5 linked regions of the Oryctolagus cuniculus genome follow. The main gene of each other region encodes a partner of the protein of the gene in region 3 in a complex. Links are inferred from orthologs where the notes say so. Each region holds a gene or a part of one and is shown on either strand. Other genes may lie near its edges. The genes, in order: ZC3H13, METTL3, RBM15, VIRMA and CBLL1.

The links.
Region 1: RBM15 (region 3) and ZC3H13 share a complex: the UniProt entries of both Homo sapiens proteins name them as parts of the WMM complex. The link is inferred for Oryctolagus cuniculus from reciprocal best matches to the Homo sapiens genes RBM15 and ZC3H13.
Region 2: RBM15 (region 3) and METTL3 share a complex: the UniProt entries of both Homo sapiens proteins name them as parts of the WMM complex. The link is inferred for Oryctolagus cuniculus from reciprocal best matches to the Homo sapiens genes RBM15 and METTL3.
Region 4: RBM15 (region 3) and VIRMA share a complex: the UniProt entries of both Homo sapiens proteins name them as parts of the WMM complex. The link is inferred for Oryctolagus cuniculus from reciprocal best matches to the Homo sapiens genes RBM15 and VIRMA.
Region 5: RBM15 (region 3) and CBLL1 share a complex: the UniProt entries of both Homo sapiens proteins name them as parts of the WMM complex. The link is inferred for Oryctolagus cuniculus from reciprocal best matches to the Homo sapiens genes RBM15 and CBLL1.

What each region holds. Positions count from the first base shown.
Region 1 is NC_091440.1:65,049,249-65,052,761, forward strand, and holds part of ZC3H13 (zinc finger CCCH domain-containing protein 13), read right to left. Parts: intron 1,865-3,513; coding exon 1,673-1,864; intron 1-1,672. UniProt on the Homo sapiens protein: Associated component of the WMM complex, a complex that mediates N6-methyladenosine (m6A) methylation of RNAs, a modification that plays a role in the efficiency of mRNA splicing and RNA processing.
Region 2 is NC_091443.1:53,431,514-53,435,780, reverse strand, and holds the start of METTL3 (N6-adenosine-methyltransferase catalytic subunit), read right to left. Parts: upstream 2,801-4,267; 5' UTR 2,627-2,800; coding exon 2,527-2,626; intron 1-2,526. UniProt on the Homo sapiens protein: The METTL3-METTL14 heterodimer forms a N6-methyltransferase complex that methylates adenosine residues at the N(6) position of some RNAs and regulates various processes such as the circadian clock, differentiation of embryonic and hematopoietic stem cells, cortical neurogenesis, response to DNA damage, differentiation of T-cells and primary miRNA processing.
Region 3 is NC_091438.1:59,998,473-60,001,985, forward strand, and holds part of RBM15 (RNA-binding protein 15), read right to left. Parts: coding exon 2,496-3,513; intron 1-2,495. UniProt on the Homo sapiens protein: RNA-binding protein that acts as a key regulator of N6-methyladenosine (m6A) methylation of RNAs, thereby regulating different processes, such as hematopoietic cell homeostasis, alternative splicing of mRNAs and X chromosome inactivation mediated by Xist RNA.
Region 4 is NC_091437.1:119,962,006-119,966,126, forward strand, and holds the start of VIRMA (protein virilizer homolog), read right to left. Parts: upstream 2,813-4,121; 5' UTR 2,599-2,812; coding exon 2,536-2,598; intron 1-2,535. UniProt on the Homo sapiens protein: Associated component of the WMM complex, a complex that mediates N6-methyladenosine (m6A) methylation of RNAs, a modification that plays a role in the efficiency of mRNA splicing and RNA processing.
Region 5 is NC_091434.1:136,465,561-136,469,619, forward strand, and holds the start of CBLL1 (E3 ubiquitin-protein ligase Hakai), read right to left. Parts: upstream 2,802-4,059; 5' UTR 2,650-2,801; coding exon 2,499-2,649; exon of another isoform or gene 2,262-2,498; intron 1-2,261. UniProt on the Homo sapiens protein: E3 ubiquitin-protein ligase that mediates ubiquitination of several tyrosine-phosphorylated Src substrates, including CDH1, CTTN and DOK1. Targets CDH1 for endocytosis and degradation.

The sequences.
Region 1 (3,513 bases), on a different chromosome or scaffold from region 3:
TGTAAAGCTACCTTCTTCTCTTGCATTTACACCTCTGTGTAAATATCTCTTCAAATTTTCCATTCAAACGCTCAAGTAGATGCCTCTCTTATTCTTTATTCTATCTAGGTCCTTTGTTTTCTTGATAACAATAATCATTTCTCTTTTTATGGGGGGAAGTAGGAGGTGTTTCCTTTTCCATCAGTTTCTTTATAGAAACCCATGGACAAGAACTGTTGTACTCCAAGTACCTAGCAAAGTGCCTAGCATGGGTAGAATATATCACTAGCCTCAAAAATATATTGCTATATTTTGATCATTCAACTGATATTTACTGAAGTAGTTAAAGAGAACTAGATCCGTTGTCAGAAGACCTGAGTTTGAATCCAGTTCTGGAACTAACTTCAATTAAATCTAATTGTCTAAGCTGTGAAACATGGATTACTTTATAATACCTATACTTATTGGGATATTGTAAAAGTTAAGTCACAGAATATATGTAAAACAACTACTGAACTTCTCGGCACCTAGGTTGAATTAAATAGAGGAATAAAACCAAATGTTACTACCGAATTGAGGCATGAATTCAGAGAAACCTGTTCTAGGATAAGAAAATAGAAAAAAAGGAAGAAAAGTAATATACATACAACACACACACACACAAACACACACACACACATATATATACACATAAATAAAGCATTACCAGGATGCAGTATTAAAGAGAGATAAATCAAATGCTGGAAGAAATAATTTCAGATATTAACACTGAATAAACTTTACCCCTACTTATAACTGGGGAAGTCCTCACCTTTTTAAACCCAAATGCAGTTGGCTTACCTTAATGAACTTAACCCAACCGACTGTCCTATCTCTGATCTTCTCTATTCTCTCAAGTATATATGGTGTCTTAGAAACTTGGTTTTACTCCTATTACTACCCACATCAAGATATAGTTTTATCTTTTTGATTCAGCCCACACTAAAAGCATCAACATTCAATTTCCTGCTCCATCAAGTTTCATACTATTCAAAGTTCAGTATTATAGTGAATCTTACTTCAGAAATCAGCCAAGGTTAGAAAGACTTTGATAAGACTGATTTTAAATGTTTAAATACAGACAATACAAACTTTTCAAAGAAAATTCTTAGAATAAAGTGTTTCCTAGCAATCTTACTTCAAAAGTTACTTTTATAAGATTATCTAATAGATAAACAGAAAACTTTTAGCTTAACACATACAAGAATACAAAATTATATATTCTCAGGCCAGAATATGAGTAAAATGTTTCTCGAACAATCCCTAGCCTTGCTCTTCTCTGGTAGCCCATAAAATACTCTATTGTTCATGGCTAAAAAGAGAGTAGCCAGGATAATACTCATGAGAAGGCTTCCATTATTTCCTGAATTGCCTGGGATGGCATCTTGAAAGGGTTGTGAGCTACCCAGTTAGGATGGCAGACACACAGCAGGACAGCACAGTTCTTGTACTCTGCTGCTGGTAGTTACAGGTAGCTAGCTACTTACATAAACCTTCCTAAACTAATGAACAAAGAGTATAAGAGTTTCAATCAAACATTGTCATCAAGCTTAGTCTTAAAATATACTTTATATTAAAAAGCAAATTGGTAACTTTTAAAAAGCAATCCTCAATTTAATGTTGGTACTATTTAATAAAATTTTGTTTGACAAACCTCTTTCTCGGTTGTCACGCCGGTCTCTCTCTCCATGTCTTCTCTCAAAAGAAGAATCCCTTGCTTGATCTCTGTTGTCTCTTTCAGGGTATCTGTCTCTTTCAGGATAGCTACTTCGAGTTTCCCAGTTGTCATGATAGTTGCTATTACTACTGTGACTATCAATTTGAGAACCTCTTGTGCCTCGGCTTCCTAAACAAAGGATATTCATACAGTTGTTTAACACAGAACACTTTATTCAACAAGTTTCATCAGTCACAATCTTTCCTCCTAGAAAACACTAATTTGCTTTGGTATTCCAAGTGCGGTAATCACTGTTGAAAAGAATATTAAGCACCGCTGAGAACACACAGCTCTGCTATGACTGACTTGAGGAAGCTAAGTTCCAGTTTTCTCCATCTATAAAAAAAGTAATAATGGAATCGGAAAGCAAGAAGACTCATTTAAAATACCCCCAGAACAACAAAACAAAAATTTAAAAATGCTTCTTCATATCTCATCCACAGAAACCACATGAAAATAATGAGAAATATGGATATGTAGTATTGACTCAATCACAGTTTATACTGAAAGCACTCGAATATAGAATGACGAAAGTAATTTGGCAACATTAAATGTATCTAAACATTTTTATTAAAAGATGTGGGAAATTGGGGCCAGTGTGGTGGCATAGTGGGTAAAGTCACTGCCTGCAACGCCAGCGTCCCATGTGGGTGCCAGTTTGTGTCCTGGCCGCTTCACTTGCAATCCAGTTCTCTGTTGATGGCTTGTGGGGCAGAGGAGGATGGCACAGGTGTTTGGGCCTGTCACTCATGTGGGAGACCTGGATGAAGTTCCTGGCAATGACCTGGTCCAGCCCTGTCCACTCTGGCCATGTGGGGAGTGAATGAGCAGTTGGAAGGTATCTCTGTAACTCTTTCAAATAAATAAATAAATCTTAAAGAAAGAAAAAAAAAGATGTGAGAAATGAATGTTCATGGTAGCTTTATTTCTGCTAGCCAAAAACTGCAAAGTATTCAATTATCTTTCAATGGGTGAATGAATAAACAAATCATGATACATTTATATAACGGAGTCCTATGCAGCAGTAACAAGGAAGACTCTACTGATACATGCAACAACTTGGATGAACTTCAAGAAAATTATGCTGAATGAAAAAGCCCATCTCAGCAGTATACTTGCTGTATGATTCCACTTAGGAAACAGTCCTGAAATAACATAATCTTAAGATGCAGGACATATTAGAGATTGCCAGGGGTCTGTGATAGAAGAGGGGATGGATGTAGTAACACCAGCAAATCTTATGATGTTACAATTAAATATCTGATTGTAGGGCTAATACCAGGCTACATATGTGATAAAACTGCCTAGAGCTAAATACACATGCACACACAAAAAATATATATAACTGTAAAACCTGAATGAGATCTATAGAGTACAGCAGTGTTAATTTCTTGGTTTTGATGGCATACTCTAGATGTGTAAGATGTTATCACTGGGAAAGCAGAGAACAGTACACTGAGCTTCCTTGTACATTTCATTCCAATCTCCTATGAATCCTTAATTACTTGGAAAAAAAACTGTTCTCTTAAATTTCTGGAGTATGGGAGGTAAGGGTAAGGGGAAAGAAGCAAAACAGGGGCTGTCATAACCTAGGAAAGCCAGCAAAAATAAAGGCAAGAACTCTGGTGAACTCTGTCCTCAACCCCTTAAAGTTACTATAGATAAATCCTTATGAAGATGAATTCACTCCAAACTCAAAAAGAATACATGAGAAACCTACCCACCTACAGTAAGAATAGGAAGGTACATCTCCAAGGGTAAAAATAAAACCAAAAAAC
Region 2 (4,267 bases), on a different chromosome or scaffold from region 3:
GAATCTCCCATGCGGGTGCCATCTTCTACTGCTTTCCCAGGCCATAGCAGAGAGCTGGATCAGAAGTGGAGCAGCTGGGACTCCCAGTGCCCATACAGGATGTCGGCACTGCAGGTGGCGGCTTTACCCACTCCACCACAGTGCCAGCCCCGATCTGCTAAATCTTAAGGAGATACTCTTTCACCAGCTCAACTGATAACAGTCGTGTGTTTCGCTTAGTCAAAGAGGTGTGGTAGGGCAAGCATTTGGAGAAGTAAGACACTAGTTGGCACATCCACAACCCATGTCCGAGTGCCTGAGTTCAAGTCCTGGCTCTGCTCCCAATTCAAGCTACCTGCTAATCTGTGCCCGGGGAGGCAGCAGATGATGGCTCAGATACTACTCCCTACTACAAATATGGGAGACTTAGACTGGGCTCCTGTCTTAGGCCTGGCCTGCACTAGCCATTACCCCAGCAGGTGGCTGTTTGCTGTCTGTCTCTACTTCTCAAAAAATTTTTTTATTTAAAAAAATAAAAGATGATGTATGCACAGGTCATGGAATCACTAAGGGGGTCTGGATGAGGAGTTTTAGAGTAACTCCCTCAGCTAAAAATATGTAAGAAATATAAGGGACAATTACTATTTATCGTACTTGGAAGACCATAAACAAAATTCCCACATCAAGCTAGACTGTGACTATTACAATCTCTTACGATTCAGAAATCCCACAAGTGTAATAAATTTGAACCAGAATACTCCTGTGGTATAACTAGAGTAAAATATTTACAGCAGCCCAGGCTGGACCAGGCAGAAGCCAGGAGCCAGAAACTCAATCTGGGTCTCCCACATGGATGACAGGGACACATCCACCTGAGCTAGCACCTGCTGCTTCCCAAGGTGTATATAAGTAGGAAGCTGGAATGGGAGTGAAGCTGGGACTCCAGCCAGGATTCCGAATCAGGCACTCCGGTAAGGGGCACAGGCAGCCCAAGCAGTGTCTTAACCACTGAGCCAAAGGCCTGCCCCGCTGCTATTTTTAACGCATGCTTTTTCAGAAAACAAGGTTTTTCAAAAACATACATATAAATGATATGCCTGTAATCAGACTTCCAATCCTGTTTTTGAAATAACTGACAAGATACTTCCAGTAACTGAAGTCTATGGTAAACTAGGAGTCACTTGTTTATGATGAAGGTGGAATGATTATGTTTTCTATATAAAATTGAGATGCATAAAAGAAACAGGGGAAACCAACAGATAGGAAGCAAGACAAAGCCAAAGAAAATTGTATCTACAAAAAGCCAGATTTGAATTTTATAAAAAAAGAAAATTCTCCTTCTTGGGTAATTCAAACTGTGCAATGCTTGACCATCACTTATTCCCTGATCATATAACTTAGATTTTTTCCTCCACTATCCTGCCTTCTTAACTCCAAAATTACTTAAGTTCTATATAGTAATCAAGGCCGAATTTAACTGCCAACTCCCCCATGATAACTTCACTGACTACACCAGCTTTTATTATTAATCTCCATTGTATTAATCACGGACTCAATCACTTGCTATCCTACATATACCCTATTTCTGACTTTAAGCATCTATCCTTGATTCCCAGCTAAACCCTACAGTCCTTGAGGGGCAGGGACAATGTCTCCCTTATTTGTGTCTAACTAGACTCCCGAACACTGCAGATACTCAGTAAGTTATTAACTATGGTGTGAGAATCCTGCCAGTGTATCTTCTAGTTCCAGGCACCAGAATATGCGCACAGGAACCGAATTAGATCAAGACAAGATTGACAATGGAAGCCGATGACTCTGATAAACACTGGCACAAGTTAGTACAAGAGTGATATTCACTATCCTTGCAGAGTTCTGTAATTGATTTGCCTTACATAATTGGCAAATCAATAATTGGTTTGTGCAGACGGATAGGGTAGGACTTGTCAATCTTAAAAAAAAAAAAGTTCCTTCAGGTTTTTGTTTTTTTTTTTACTTTTTTTTTTTCCTTCAGGTTTTATAGCTGTAACTGGGGTGGTGGTGGAGAAAGAAGGGACAGTTTAAAAACTAAGCAAGTGTTTTCAAAGTCTTGCTAAGTATGTGTGAGTGGCTACGTCCACGCGTTTCCCCATTCATTGAGCGACACGAGCGGGCCACTAAAATCATCTCTGTGGGCAATCGCAATCGCAAAGACAGGACCACTAGAAAGCAGCCGCTGGAACTACGTATAAAAACGCGTCAAGGCAGCAAGGGAGCAGGAGGATCGCGGGCCCGGGGCTCAGAGGCCGCACAAAGGCGACGTTCTCGCCGGCTGAGGGCAGGGCCTGGGGTCGCGGATGCGGCTCCGGTGTAACGCCGTGTGAGGCAGCTGCAATGGGGCAGCTGCAAGGGCCGCGAGCTAACCCACAGGAGGGCGAAGGTCTCTGCTACTGAGGAGCGGACGCCTTCGCGAGATGGAAACGCCCACGACTCGGGAGTGTCGGTTTCTCCAAGGACCCCGCCCGCCCTCCCAGGCTGAGCCTCGGCCCCTACAGACCCCCGCCTCACCCAAATGCCCCGAGTCCTGCTTTCGCCTCCGCTGCAGCCTCTCCCGCAGCGAGTCCAGCTGCTTCTTGTGGGCTTGGATAGAGCTCCACGTGTCCGACATCCTACTCTCCCCGCGCGGGCGCGTCTCGAATCAGGCGCGGCGGACTAGCACCTCCCAGGCCTAGCTCCAGGTGTCCAGTTCTCTCGGGGCCACCGGAAGGCTACCCGGAAAGGATCCCGGGAGAGGCGCGAGAATGAAAAGTCACTTCCGGTCTCGCGCGCTAGCTCGGAAGCGAAAACGAGAGCCACCGTAGGGGTTGCTAGAATGACGGATTCGTTCCGGGCCTGATGAGGTTGCGGCGGCCATGTTGGTGCCTGGCAGAGCGGCCATGTTGCTTACAGACGCGCATGCGGCCATGTTGAATATTTAAGAGGAGTCCTGAACCCGGTGTAAGAGAGCGCTCCTTGACCGAAGTTTTAAAACGAAAGGTCACTAGCTCATTTTGACAGTTTGGTACTGACGGGCGTTTTCCACTAAAGGTGCTGTAGATTTTTGTTTCCCTGCGTTCAATTGAAAAATAAAATTGCGGGCTCAGGATGCATGCAAGCTCCCTTAGGGAGGAAGGCTAGTAGAAAAGCAGTATAATAAGGGGTCTTCCAATACGTAGTCTCACTTTTATTAACCAAATGTACAGGTATCACGTATAATTGATTAAAATGGGGTCCGCACAATGGGTCACTCCAGATAATTTTTGAGATTCTGGTTGCACTGTTTCTTAGTGGAACTGGTTGGATGAGTGTATCAGCTTGTGAAAATTAGGGGGGCCGACGCTGCGGCTTAGCGGATAAAGCCGCCGCCTGCAGTGCCAGCATCCCATCTGGGCGCTGGTTCAAGTTCTGGATGCTCCACTTCCAATCCAGAGCCCTGCTATGGCCTGGGAAAGCAGAAGATGGCCCAAGTCCTTGGGCCCCTGCAGCCACGTGGGAGACCCAGAGGAAGCTCCTGGCTCCTGGCTTCGGATCGGTGCAGCTCTGGTGTTGCAGCCAATTGGAGAGTGAACCAGCGGATGGAAGACCTCTACCTCTCCTCTCTCTGTATAACTCTTTCAAATAAATAAATAAATCTTTAAAAAAAAAAAAAAAAACACACATGGGCCGGCGCTGGGGCTCACTAGGCTAATCCTCTGCTTGCGGCTCCGGCACACCGGGTTCTAGTCCCGGTCGGGGTGCCGGATTCTGTCCCGGTTGCCCCTCTTCCAGGCTAGCTCTCTGCTGTGGCCCAGGAAGGCAGTGGAGGATGGCTCCAGTGCTTGGGCCCTGCACCCCATGGGAGACCAGGATAAGTACCTGGCTCCTGCCATCGGATCAGCGCGGTGCGCCAGCCGCGGTGGCCATTGGAGGGTGAACCAACGGCAAAGGAAGCCCTTTCTGTCTGTCTCTCTCACTGTCCACTCTGCCTGTCAAAAAAAAAAAAAAAAAAAAAAAGACACATTTTGGGTGTGCACTTCTCTGTATAGTAACCTTTACAAGTTTGTTTTCAAATTTTTTTTTAATTTTATTAGTTATTTGGAAGGCAGAATGACAGAGAAAGAGAGATCTTCCATCCACTGCCTCATTCCTCAAATGGCAGCAACAGCCAGGGCTGGGCAAGGCTGACTCCGGGAACCTTTAACTCCATTTGGGTCTCACAGGTGGGTGGCAGGAATCTAAGTATTTGAGCCATCATCCAGTGGCTTCCCAGGTGCATTAACAGGAAGCTGGT
Region 3 (3,513 bases):
AATTTCCTTCCCATTCATTTCAATTGAGTTCTCCCCCCCAAAAAAATTAATGTAATTTTAAAAAGAAAAAATTGGTTGTTACAAAGAACATCCAATGTTGAGATTATGAAATTCTGGCTAATGAAGATTAGAACCATGTTTAGACAACTGCTTTCATTCAAATTCTGAATGTTTAAGTAAATAGTTTACAGATATTATAAATCTGCACAACAGAATGGGCAACACAAATAAAAGATTCATCTGGATGATGGCACTCTGCAGGTAAGCACCAAACTAACATAATTAGTTTCTTATACATACATTTAGAAATGGTATCAAGTCATTGTTTCAAAACATTGAAGCACAATTGCCCAGGTCTAACCAAAGCAGCAATGTCAGATACGAATTTAAACAAACATGAGGGGAAAAAAACCACAGTACTCTTCAGTAAGCTGTCACACCAACTTTAAAAAAAAAAAAGAGATAAACCACACACGTTTTGGACTATAGTAATATTACATTTCATGGACTTCACTCTCTGAAAGAGCAAAATCATTTGTCTGCTACCATATGGAAAGATATCCAAAAGTTAATGGTTAGTGAGATATTTAAACTGGAAAAATGTATCTAGCCACAAATTGTACTTTGATCCCATGTATGCAGACTACTTGCATTAGTTTCTGAACAGGTGTCTACTTCATGCCAAGTACTGCTTTCTGAAAGAAAAAGCACCAAAACCTACTTGTAGGATATCAGACATTTTTCCTAAAGCGCACATCAAGGACTTCTGTGCTCATAGCCTAGTACCTTCCTACCTTCCTTCTCTCAAAATGGCTAGTTTTTCCAGTTTAAAAACAAACAAAAAAAACCTAAAAAAAATCATAAATGCATAGATAACCAAAAAGAATGACACAGTAGTGATGAGGCTTTCATGCTGACATGCATTAGACACCTGTCATAATGGAAAATAAAAATTATATGACATTTCCCTGGGTTATTATTGGTGCTATTTCAAAACTACCAGCTTTGATAACAGAAAGAACAGTTGGGTTCTGCCAGGCTTTGAATAAGTCACTTTCACAGAATAGAAACATGACCATGATCCAGGAGGTCCGAGAGCTTCTAATCATAATTAAATATCAAGGGCCTGAGTCAAAGGTCTCAACATTTATATCAAAAGAGAAAAATATACTTACTAATGACCTGAGAAAGTAAAGGCTGTGGTAGAAGGGGGGGGGGGGGATCATTACTGTTAAGCAACAAAACCCCTTGTTAAGAACCAGAAGGTGATACCATCATCAGCTTTGAAAAAATTTTCTCAAAAAAAATTCTGTATTAATTCCAAGTGTCTGGGAAAATAAAACAATAACAAAGGGTTTTCCCACATTGACATTTCAAATCTGTGGCTGGACAGCAGTGAAAATTTTAAGCATGAAATTCCAAAAACTTTCAATAATGTTATGTAATCACTGGGCAAATATGAAAATAAAAATGCAAGCAAAATTTAAAAGACCACGACTTAAAAAAAAGATTCTGCAATCCAGATATGGCTGATTAATGCCCACTGAAACAGAAGATGACTTACGAGCCTGCAGACAACTCTTCTTTCTATTACTGAAACCAGAAATTTGAATGGATACAAAAACACTCATCTTTGATGAAGAACACTTAGTTTTGAAATATGCACAATTAGAATTATACCTGCTATACCTCTCTGAAAAAGTCAGTAAAAACACAACCACACACCAATAACTGACCAAAGAACTCTGATTTTAAAAGCACCTACTCACTTCTTGCATACTATTGTAAGCATAAGACACCAATGGTTTGTAACATAGTCCTCAACTTTTACTGAACAGTTAGTTACAGCTACAAACCAAAAGTGCATATAGGGGATACAGAACTCAACAACTAATGATAAAAATGCATGGTAAAGCAATTCTCTGGGAATAACTTGTATTTTAAGAGAAATACTCAAATACCTGATTTAAATAATTATATTGCTACACATTTACTAGCATAAACTTTTGGGTTCCCTGATCAAATTTTAGTCACACAACTACTTCTGGTACAGGACTTATTTACTTACATACCAGTCAAGCAGTTTTTAGATATTACCAGCTTAATAGTCAGTGGATTCTTTTCTCCAAATGCCAAACTTTTCAAAATTTTGGTTTTGTAACTTTGAGGACTTTTTTATTTTAAGTTCAAGGTTATAAAAAAAAAAAACTCAAGACAAAGGAAAGAAGTTACTTATAAAGGCAGGAACTCCTAATTAAAGCAAACCAATCTGTCTGCCTGCTACCTTTGTGGTGTCCCTTTCATTTAAAATAATAACTAAACTGTCCTGACTTCTATTTTAAAGAGGTTTATAAAAAATATATAAAAAAAGAAAAAGCTACAACTAAACAACTAATTAAAAAAAAGTTATCTGATGCTGTATCCCATTACACATCACAAAACAGGAACCATGTCAAAGTAGTAAATACAAGATACACATGGACTTTAGGACGCACCACGGACAATGATCATGACCAGGTAATCTTCTTCAGATTTGGCCAGTGCCTTGGCAGGGGAATCCAGGAACTGCTGGGAGAACTCACAGGGTGGGAAGGCATGAAGAACCCCGGTGTTTTCTTTGTCTTTGTTCCCCCCAACAGGGAGGCTGATCACCCCAGCTGCCTGCTTTTGCTTTAAATAGGACACAAGGTTCCTAAGTGGCCTCTGAGTAGAGGTGGCAGTGTCTGTCGTGGCTGAGGAAGAGGAGGACCGGCTTTCAGAACTTCCAGGCACAGCCAGAAGAATGGCGTAACCATTGGGCCCTGCCACTTTGATGCGTCGAGTTACTTCATCCAACTTGGGCTGGTCCAAACGGAGACGCTGAGTGATCTTGAGCTGGGCCACTTTGCCTCCAGTTGAGCCCTCCACAAGAAGACTACTGGCCACTTGGAGGTCACCCTGCAACAGATGCATGTTGGAAGGAAAGTTGCTGTTCTTCAGTAGAAGCATCCCTTGCCAGGCCAAACAGAGTTTCGGAGAAGCAGCTGCCGCAGGGGCGGTCCCCCCATCCTGTTTCTGGGAAGGGGACTTCAGCTTTGATGAAGCAGTGCTGGTACTGGGTGCGCTCCCATCAGGTCGGTCTTCCTTTTTCAGAGGGCTTTTTCCCTCGGTGGGAGCAGCTGTCCGGTGCTTCCTATCCCGTTCAGCTGATGCAGAGTTTTTACGGTCTCGCTTGTCACCCTGGCTCTTCTCCAAACTGCCCCGTCTGTCTCTGATTGGAGAGGGCCTTTCCAGGAGAAGGAGACGGGAAGATCGGTCATTGTCACTGTTGTAACGGTCTCGGCTACTGCTCAATTCTGGACTGCGGTCAGGAGAAGGAGCACAGTGCCGTTTCCGTGGTCGGTCACTCTCAGGGGACCTGTCCAGATGCCGTCCTCCGCCCTCCTCAGGTAGTCTTCGCTTCCTGGGCTGGTCTCTGCTGCTGGGCAGATCTCGATCGCCTCTGTCCCGGTCCAAGGACCAGCCATCCCGCCT
Region 4 (4,121 bases), on a different chromosome or scaffold from region 3:
GGAAGGCAGTGGAGGATGACCCAAGTCCTTGGGCCTCTGCACCCGCATGGGAGAACAGGAAGAAGCACCTGGCTCCTGGCTTTGGATCAGTGCAGCGCCAGCAGTAGTGGCCATTTGGGGAGTGAACCAATGGACAGAAGACCTTTCTCTATGTTTCTCTCTCTCACTGTCTGTAACTCTGTCAAATAAATTTTTTAAAAAATTTTTAAAAAAAAACAGAACTCAAGGAGAGGCAGGACAACTAACTACCTTTAAAAAAAATCAGTATTTTATATCATCCATAAAAATCCTACTCCTCCTTAAAGACTCCATTCAAATGTGATCTCTACTAATCTTCCCCAATTAACCCCAGAAGAAGGTATTTACTACCTGCCCTATCCTCTCACGGTCATCAATGTTTGTCTAAGAATGAGTGAAAGAGAAGATTAACATACAATGAGTTATGTCAGTTTTCCTAAACTAGAATAGTACTAAATTAATTTATCATACACCTCTATCATTTTTAACTGTTCTCTATTTCTGTACAACAGGTGTGTTCAAAGTTTCAACTACTGATTGCACTGAGTTTTCTTTTTTTTTTTTTTGGACAGGCTGAATTAGACAGTGAGAGAGAGAGAGAGAGAGAGAGAGGGAGAGAAAGGTCCTCCTTCCATTGTTTCACCCCCAAACGGCCACTACAGCCTCAGGCGCTGCGCCAGGAGCCAGGTGCTTCCTCCTGGTCTCCCATGCGGGTGCAGGGCCCAAGCACTTGGGCCATCCTCCACTGCCTTCCCGGGCCACAGCAGAGAGCTGGACTGAAGAGGAGCAACCGGGACAGAATCCAGCGCCCTAACCGGGACTAGAACCCAGGATGCCAGCGCCACAGGTGGAGGATTAGCCAAGTGAGCCATGGCACTGGCTCCAGTGAGTTTTCTAAAGTCCAGCTGTAATAATTATAGCACTCAGCAAGCAAACAGCCCCATAAAATGTGAGATCATAAGCTAATTCATTTTCACTAAAATATGCTAAGCCACCGTTACCCCAGCTTTTGGCTTTTACAGACCTGTAAGCCACTCATTAAATTAAAAGATCAAGATTGCCAATGTCTTCTTTTGCCAAATAAATATTAAGATACAACCACTGTCCACTAGCATCACTATTTCATAAATTAAAGAATATTTTAAACATTTTTTTCAAATGTTTACTGAGCAACTACATTTTGCTAGATACTGGCCTTGGCGCCGGGTGCTGGGTGTAGTGGGTAAAGCCACCGCCCTCAATGCCAGCATCCCATATGGGCGCCGACTGGAGTCCCGGCTGCTCCACTTCTGACCCAGCTCTCTGCTATGGCCTGGGATAGCAGTAGAGGATGGCCCAAGTCCTTGCGCCCCTGCGCATGGGAGACCCAGAAGAAGCTCCTGGCTCCTGGCTTTAGATTGGCACAGCTTCCGCCGTTTTTGCTGCCAATCGGAGAGTGTACCAGTAGATGGAAGACTTCTCTCTCTCTCTCTCTCTCTCTCTCTCTCTACCTGTCCTCTCTGTATAACTCTGACTTTCAAATAAACAAACAGATACTGTCCTAGGCACTGAAGATATTGATGAGAACAAGAGACAGACTATCCTCATGGAGCTTGATTCAAGAACACACTCTTCATAAAAACTTGACGAACCCGAAGAAAGAAGAGTCCTCAAAGTTGTTGAAATTTACATTAAGATGGGGAGAGGTGAGGCTTTGTCCGTCCCGCCCGCACCCCCAACTTCTCTGAGGACGTCTTTGAAGTTCATTTTTGACCGGCCCTCGGGAATCTTTACTTAGCTTTATTCAATTTACATAGCGCAGAGCCGATCATATGGGTAGGGGCACTCAAGTGATTTGGTCCGGAAAGGTTACTCCACGATCCCCGACCGTAACCACCCCAACGACAACAGCCCCGCTTTCGGACGAGAGCCTCACTGCAGTTCTCTCAACTCTGCCCTCTTCGCAAGCATCCTCCATGCACAGGGCTTCGCGTGAAGCATCTCCTGTCCTAACGTGCGGCATCTTTCCCAGTGGAATGCACTAAACTTCCAGGACAAACTGGACAACGCCACAGCCCTACACCGAATACGACTGTCACACAACTCCCGTTAGGAAAGAGACCTCTGGGGAAAAGCTTTAGACACGCCGGGAACCACGAAGCAGGCGTGAGCAGCTGCTCAGAGTCCCCTCACTGCGTTCAAACACAAGATGCCCAAGACCCCTCACCGCACCCCCGCCAAACGCCGCCCGACGCAAACCCGAGAAACACGATCGCTCTCACAGCAAAAGACAGAAAAAATAAAAATAAAAAGCACCCAGGGCAGCCCAAGACTGGAGCCCAAGCGCAACCAGGGAAAAGGGGATGAAGCCTTGCCTCAGAGGCCGCCCTCCTGTCCCAGTTGGGGGGAGGAGGGGTACGTATGCGAGGGATGAAATCGGCACTCGGCGTGGGGGAAAGCCGAGGACCCCTAACTATTCTGGGGGGTAACGATGCCCAGCTCGACGAGCAGCGTCAGAATCCGGCAGCCAAGCCTTACCTCAGCGCTCGGGTGTTTAAAAGTATCTAAAAATAGCAGCTCCATAGCTGAGTCCACCGCCATGTTTGACGCGGGAGGGGGACGGGGGGAGAACTTCCGGGGCAGCGCTCCAACCTCAGCGACGGCGGCTCGGGAGAGGGAGAAACGGCAGCGCTTCCGGCGACCGACGCGCCAGCGGCCCAAGCCTTGGCCTATCCCTTGGCGTGTTGCTGCCTGCAGTCGCCCGCCCCGCCTACTCCAGCGCGGCGGAGAGCGCCCTGCGAGCGCGGGGAGGGGCGGAAGGAGGCGAGGAGGGGACTATGGCGTCTCCAGAGGGCCAAACCGTGTCGTTCCTCCGCGTTACGGAGCCACGACGGCCTTCGGGTGGCGGAGTACCGAGTCGGCTTTGACGCCGACGGAGACGGCGGAGGGAATGCTGCCAACTCTGGATACCTAGCCCAGCACGACCTCAAGAACAAATGAAAAACCATTCCTGCGCTGGGAGCAGAACATGCAGAGAGCGGGTTGAAAAAACACCTAAGAGAAGAACCTTGTCTCAGCGAACGAAGAGATTTTCTCATCTGTGCAATGCGAAGAAGGCTAAATAGAAATAATTGAAATAAAAGCCAAGGAATTATAAAAGTGAAACGCAATGAACAGTAAGCCTCCTTGTCCTTGAAGCAACTGGAGGTGTATGACGCAAGCCACCTTGGTGGTCTAAGTTGGCACAAACCCCCAGGGCAGCAATGAGGAAATGCCTAGTGAATTACGGGTGCCACCCCTCTTCCAGGAATGTTCTTGCACCCGTGCCAAAAGAAGCAAACATTCAAGAGTGTTCATTGCACACTTTATTGCTGCAGCAAGAACTGGAAATTTAGTGGTCCCGATAGGAAGTAGCAAGTTAACGGTACTGTATGGATGTAATAATAACATAGCAGGTAGAAAAAATGAACTAGCACAAAATTTACTACTTTAGATAATCTTTTTTATTAAGATTGATTTATTTAATTGAAAGGCAGATTTACAGAGACACAGAGAGAATCTTCCAACCACTGGTTCACTCTCCAAATGTCTGCAATGGCAAGTGCTGGGCCGGGCTGGAGCCAGGAGCTTCCTCCAAGTCTCCCACATGGGTACAGGGGCCCAGGCACATGGGCCATCCTCTGCTGCTTTTCCCAGGCACATTAGCAAGGAGCTAGATCAGAGGTGGAGCAGCCAGGACTCCAACCAGCACCCACGTAGGATGCTGACAACTCAGGCAGCGACTTTACTCATTGCACATAACACTAGCCCCATGGGTAACCATAAGAAGGGATTAAACCCAGGCTTAAAAACATTGTAGTATAAAATAAAATGTAGCTCAAAAATGCAAAATCATAAATTTTTAGGGACATTCCTATGTTATAAAATTATTTTAAAAATGTATGGAGGTGGCCGGCGCCGCGGCTCACTAGGCTAATCCTCCGCCTAGCGGCGCCGGCACACCGGGTTCTAGTCCCGGTCGGGGCGCCGGATTCTGTCCCGGTTGCCCCTCTTCCAGGCCAGCCCTCTGCTGTGGCCAGGGAGTGCAGTGGAGGATGGCCCAGGTGCTTGGGCCCTGCATCCCA
Region 5 (4,059 bases), on a different chromosome or scaffold from region 3:
CCTTGCTTCTCTGACTGATCTCAAGCATGCAAAGCAAGCACTCAAGAACTTTAGAAAACTAAAAGGGAAACACAAAACTAACAGCGACAAAAGCAAAAGTAAGTAATGAATCTAAAAATGGAAGCTAGTTTCAAGGAAGGTGATTATTTCCTGAAGTGTAGAAAGCATTCAAGAACACAGCAAAAATTCTTATAGCACTGAGTAACACAAACATGTTAAAATGTATTTGTGCTGTAACATTTCTAGGGATATATATGGGACTGAGTTACTCTTAGTATTGAATGGGAAATTATAATTTTAGGAGGGAGCAAGCTTTCTGGACTTCAACTAGGTCTAAACAAGTGACAGTTTTTTATTAAATGACTTGTCACTTCCTGAAGTCTCTGCTTGCGTTTTACCCATGAAATAAATTCCCATGTTCCTTGACCAATAGGAGCATCAGTCACGGAACCAACTCCATGGTAAGCATTAAGTGTTGCCTTTTTTCAGGTACATAAAAAGATACAATACAGGAAAGAAAAAAAAAAGTTGCTGTAGACAGATAACAGTTTAACACTGCCCATCAGATACTAAAAAGTTTCTTAATGGTTTTGCCTTTGTGAGTGATGAAAATACCAACACCTATTACTTTTACTTTTTCCCACCACCCTGAACACCAACGTTGCCTCCCACTTTCAAAAGCCTGCTGTCGCTTTTAACACTTTGCTGTTTGCCTCACACAGTACACGTTCATAAAGCATTTTGTAGTGAACAACAACACTCTTGGTTTAAGAATCAGAACATTCACACAACTTCCCTTTTGGAATACAGTAACAGAATATAGGAAGCCCATGACAACAGAAAGTCTGGGTAGTTCTCAGAAAGTGAAAACTAAGGATAATCGACCATTCAAGGTGAATCCATCTTAAACAGGAACACTACTTTTACATCATAAAAAGATTTAGGACTTTATCTTGAAGGAGCCATGAATATTTCAGAGTTTGTTACTTTTACAAAGTGCTAATTCAAGGAATGTAGTTCAAGGAATGAATCAATTGTTAACTAGGAATCTCTGGGAGTAATTTTTCCTGAAAAATTCCATTAGAACACTTTAACTTGACATTTGAGCTTTTCAGCATGATCATTAAATGGGCCATTTTCGTATAATATTCAAGGTGACATCTATTGTCCAGTGGACTTCTTAATCCTTTGATATTAAAACAATCCTTTTGAGATGCCTATGTCTTCAATTAACTGGCACTTCTTTTGCCAATAGCTTTCTTTTCTGATTCAAACGGTGATCAAATTCTTGTTTAGGGGCTTTATGAAGTTTCATCTTTTGCAAGGCTGGTAATTTTGTCTCAATCAACTTGATACTATCTTCTGACATGAAACATCAATGACATTTATTCATGAAGAAATATAAATAGTGTTAAGTAGAAGAGAGATCTGAATAGGAATTACTTTTTTAGTGGTCAGCTCTTCAGCTATTATTTTAAAATGACTACTTCTTCAGGCAGCTCAAACACTAGAACAAATACCCTCTTATTTAATACACCCACCCATACTACAATTTCCTAAAGTAATACACTGCACCGTGGCAGGGACTTGACTCTCAGATGAGAAATACTTTACAAAATTTCCATGCTGGATACTCAACTATCAAAATCTTTTTTGAGTTTCAACTCTACAAAACTTCCAGGCACTGGAGTTCCTGAGAGCCTGCTTCTAGGCTGGTCTTCTGTATAGTCACTCTCAAGGGACTTCACCCATCCATCCACCTCAGGAGTTAAAGGTACTAATCCTCAAATAGCTGTTTTCGGTGGAAATCTTCCCTCTGACCTACTGACATTCCTCTTCCTGTGTCTCATACACATCTCATACTTAGCAAACCAAAATCAAACTTTTGTTCGCAAATTCCCGTGTCCCTCCTTTTAAAAAAACAAAGTTGTTTTCCCCAACTCTGTTAACAGGCACTACCAAGCGACTCAGCCAGAAGCTGAGGCACTTCTCCTTTCTCTCAGATACCTCCAAAATCAATCCACCCGTTCAAGTTCAAGTTCCACCACAAAAATGTCCATTCCATCTGCCTGTTCCTCTTAGTTTCGCTAACCCAATCCTGCAGGCGTGCTGCAGTCCCCTTCTAACCGTGCTATCTTCTATTATTCTCCCTCCTTCTCTCACACTACTCTATATCTATCCGCTTACACGAAAAATCAGATCTTTCCCACGGATTTCAAAGTCCGGAACAACGCAGCCTCTGCCTTCCCTTCCAATCTCACCTCGGGGGCTCTTTTTCCCCTCTTGTTAACCAGGCAACCCCGGAGGCCCTTCCGCTTTTCCTCCCGCTGGAAATGCTCTCCTTCCTCCACGGCTGGATCCTTCTCACACACCAGATCCCAGCGTAAACGCTCCCTCGCCAGAGAGACCCTCTCCGGGCTCCACGGCACCCGCTTATTTACTTCCAAAGCACTCAAGAGGGTGTAAATATTGTTTAAAACAACAACTATTTTGTCTACCTTCCCCACTAGGATAGATCTTCATGAGAAGAGGGTCTCCGTCTCCAGACCAGCAGGTGTCTCTAAGCATCTGACAATACATAAACAACCGCGCGCGCGCACACAGAGACACAATTATACACTTAAGTAGACGGCTGATGACTGCGGGCATCCAATCGGTGCGTTAAGGCAAGAAAATGCCTTTTCCCCGCTACTTGTGATCACGTCGGTATCCGCAACGGAGCACTTACTAACGCCAAGTGCACTCATTCAACATCCCAAACCCAAGAGAAAGCCAAAGGCAAAAAAAAAAAAAAAAAAAAAAAAAACTTAAACAAAGGGTGGAGCCACTCTTACTTGGAGAAAGGGATGAGAACGCCTTGGCTTTAAGAGCTCCTTTGCAAATGCCCCTAAATGATGCTGAGCAAGGGCCACAGCCCAGGCGCGGGCCATGTTACGGGCTCCGACTGTGATCCCGAAAACTACATCCGACTCCCTTCGGTAACGCCTAGTCCACGAAGGAGCAGAGCGACAATACCGGCAGGAGGTGGCCGCGGCAGCACCCGCCCAAAGCTGCCAGAGACAGCAGGAAGTCTCCAAGCCACCCTCGCCCATCCAGTCCCAACGTAATGAGGCGAATCCAACTCCGGGACTGGCGCTAGCCGCCCGAGCCCCATAACGCAGGGCCGAGCAGCAAGCCTGAGAAAGAAGGGGGAAAAAGCCAGCACGCTTCCCTCCCCACCAAGCCGGAGCCGCCCGCAGTGCCGACGCGGAGCTCAGCAGAACAAGAGGCTGCTGCCGGTACCGAGGATGTAGGTACCACACGGGAAGGGTAGGCCGGGGAGCAGCAGGGCCCCGCCGGGCCCGGGAAGGGGTCTGTGGGGTTTGTTTCCCACCGCCACCCTCCACTGCTAGGGGGCGAGAGGAATCCCTTTCGCCCGCCGGACGACCAGTCCCAGGCCGGCCAAGGGGGCATGAAACAGGGACCCCCACTGCCTCCGCCTCCTTACCAGTGTGATCCATGATTCGGCTCGCGGGGCACAGTGGGAGCGGAAGTCGGCCGCGCCGGAGTCGCAGCGAGCGCGTGCGCGCTGCCTTCCGGGCCCGCGGGGCGGAAGTGCGAGCAGGTAGCCCAGGCTCTGGCCTGCAGGGACTTCCTTCTCTCGCCTCCCTCTACCGCGCTCCGGTGAGGAGGCCGGGCATAGTACGGGGAGAGCTCCGCTGCCGAGGGTGCCAAGGCTTCCCCTCGCGTGTGCCTCTACAGGAAGTGGCCTTTAAGTGTGGAAACAGGACAGCGACGGGGCCGAGGCTCGGGGGCGGGGAGTGGGAACGGTAATAGGTGAAGGCGGAAGCTCGCGGCAGGTGAGGCGGCGGCCCGCCCCCCCGTGCAGCGAGGCCTTCTGGGGCTTGTAGTGCGCGGGGGACGTGGAGTCGGCCGGGCCCACCGCGCAGTCTCGGCCGTTGGGCCGGCCCCACCCCGGCGGGCGGAGTAACGGTTTGGAATCCCCCACCCCACCCCTCCCACTCCATGCCCCGGTTCCGCAGCGGCGGTCGGTGTCCCGCACCGGGTGTGGACCCAGTG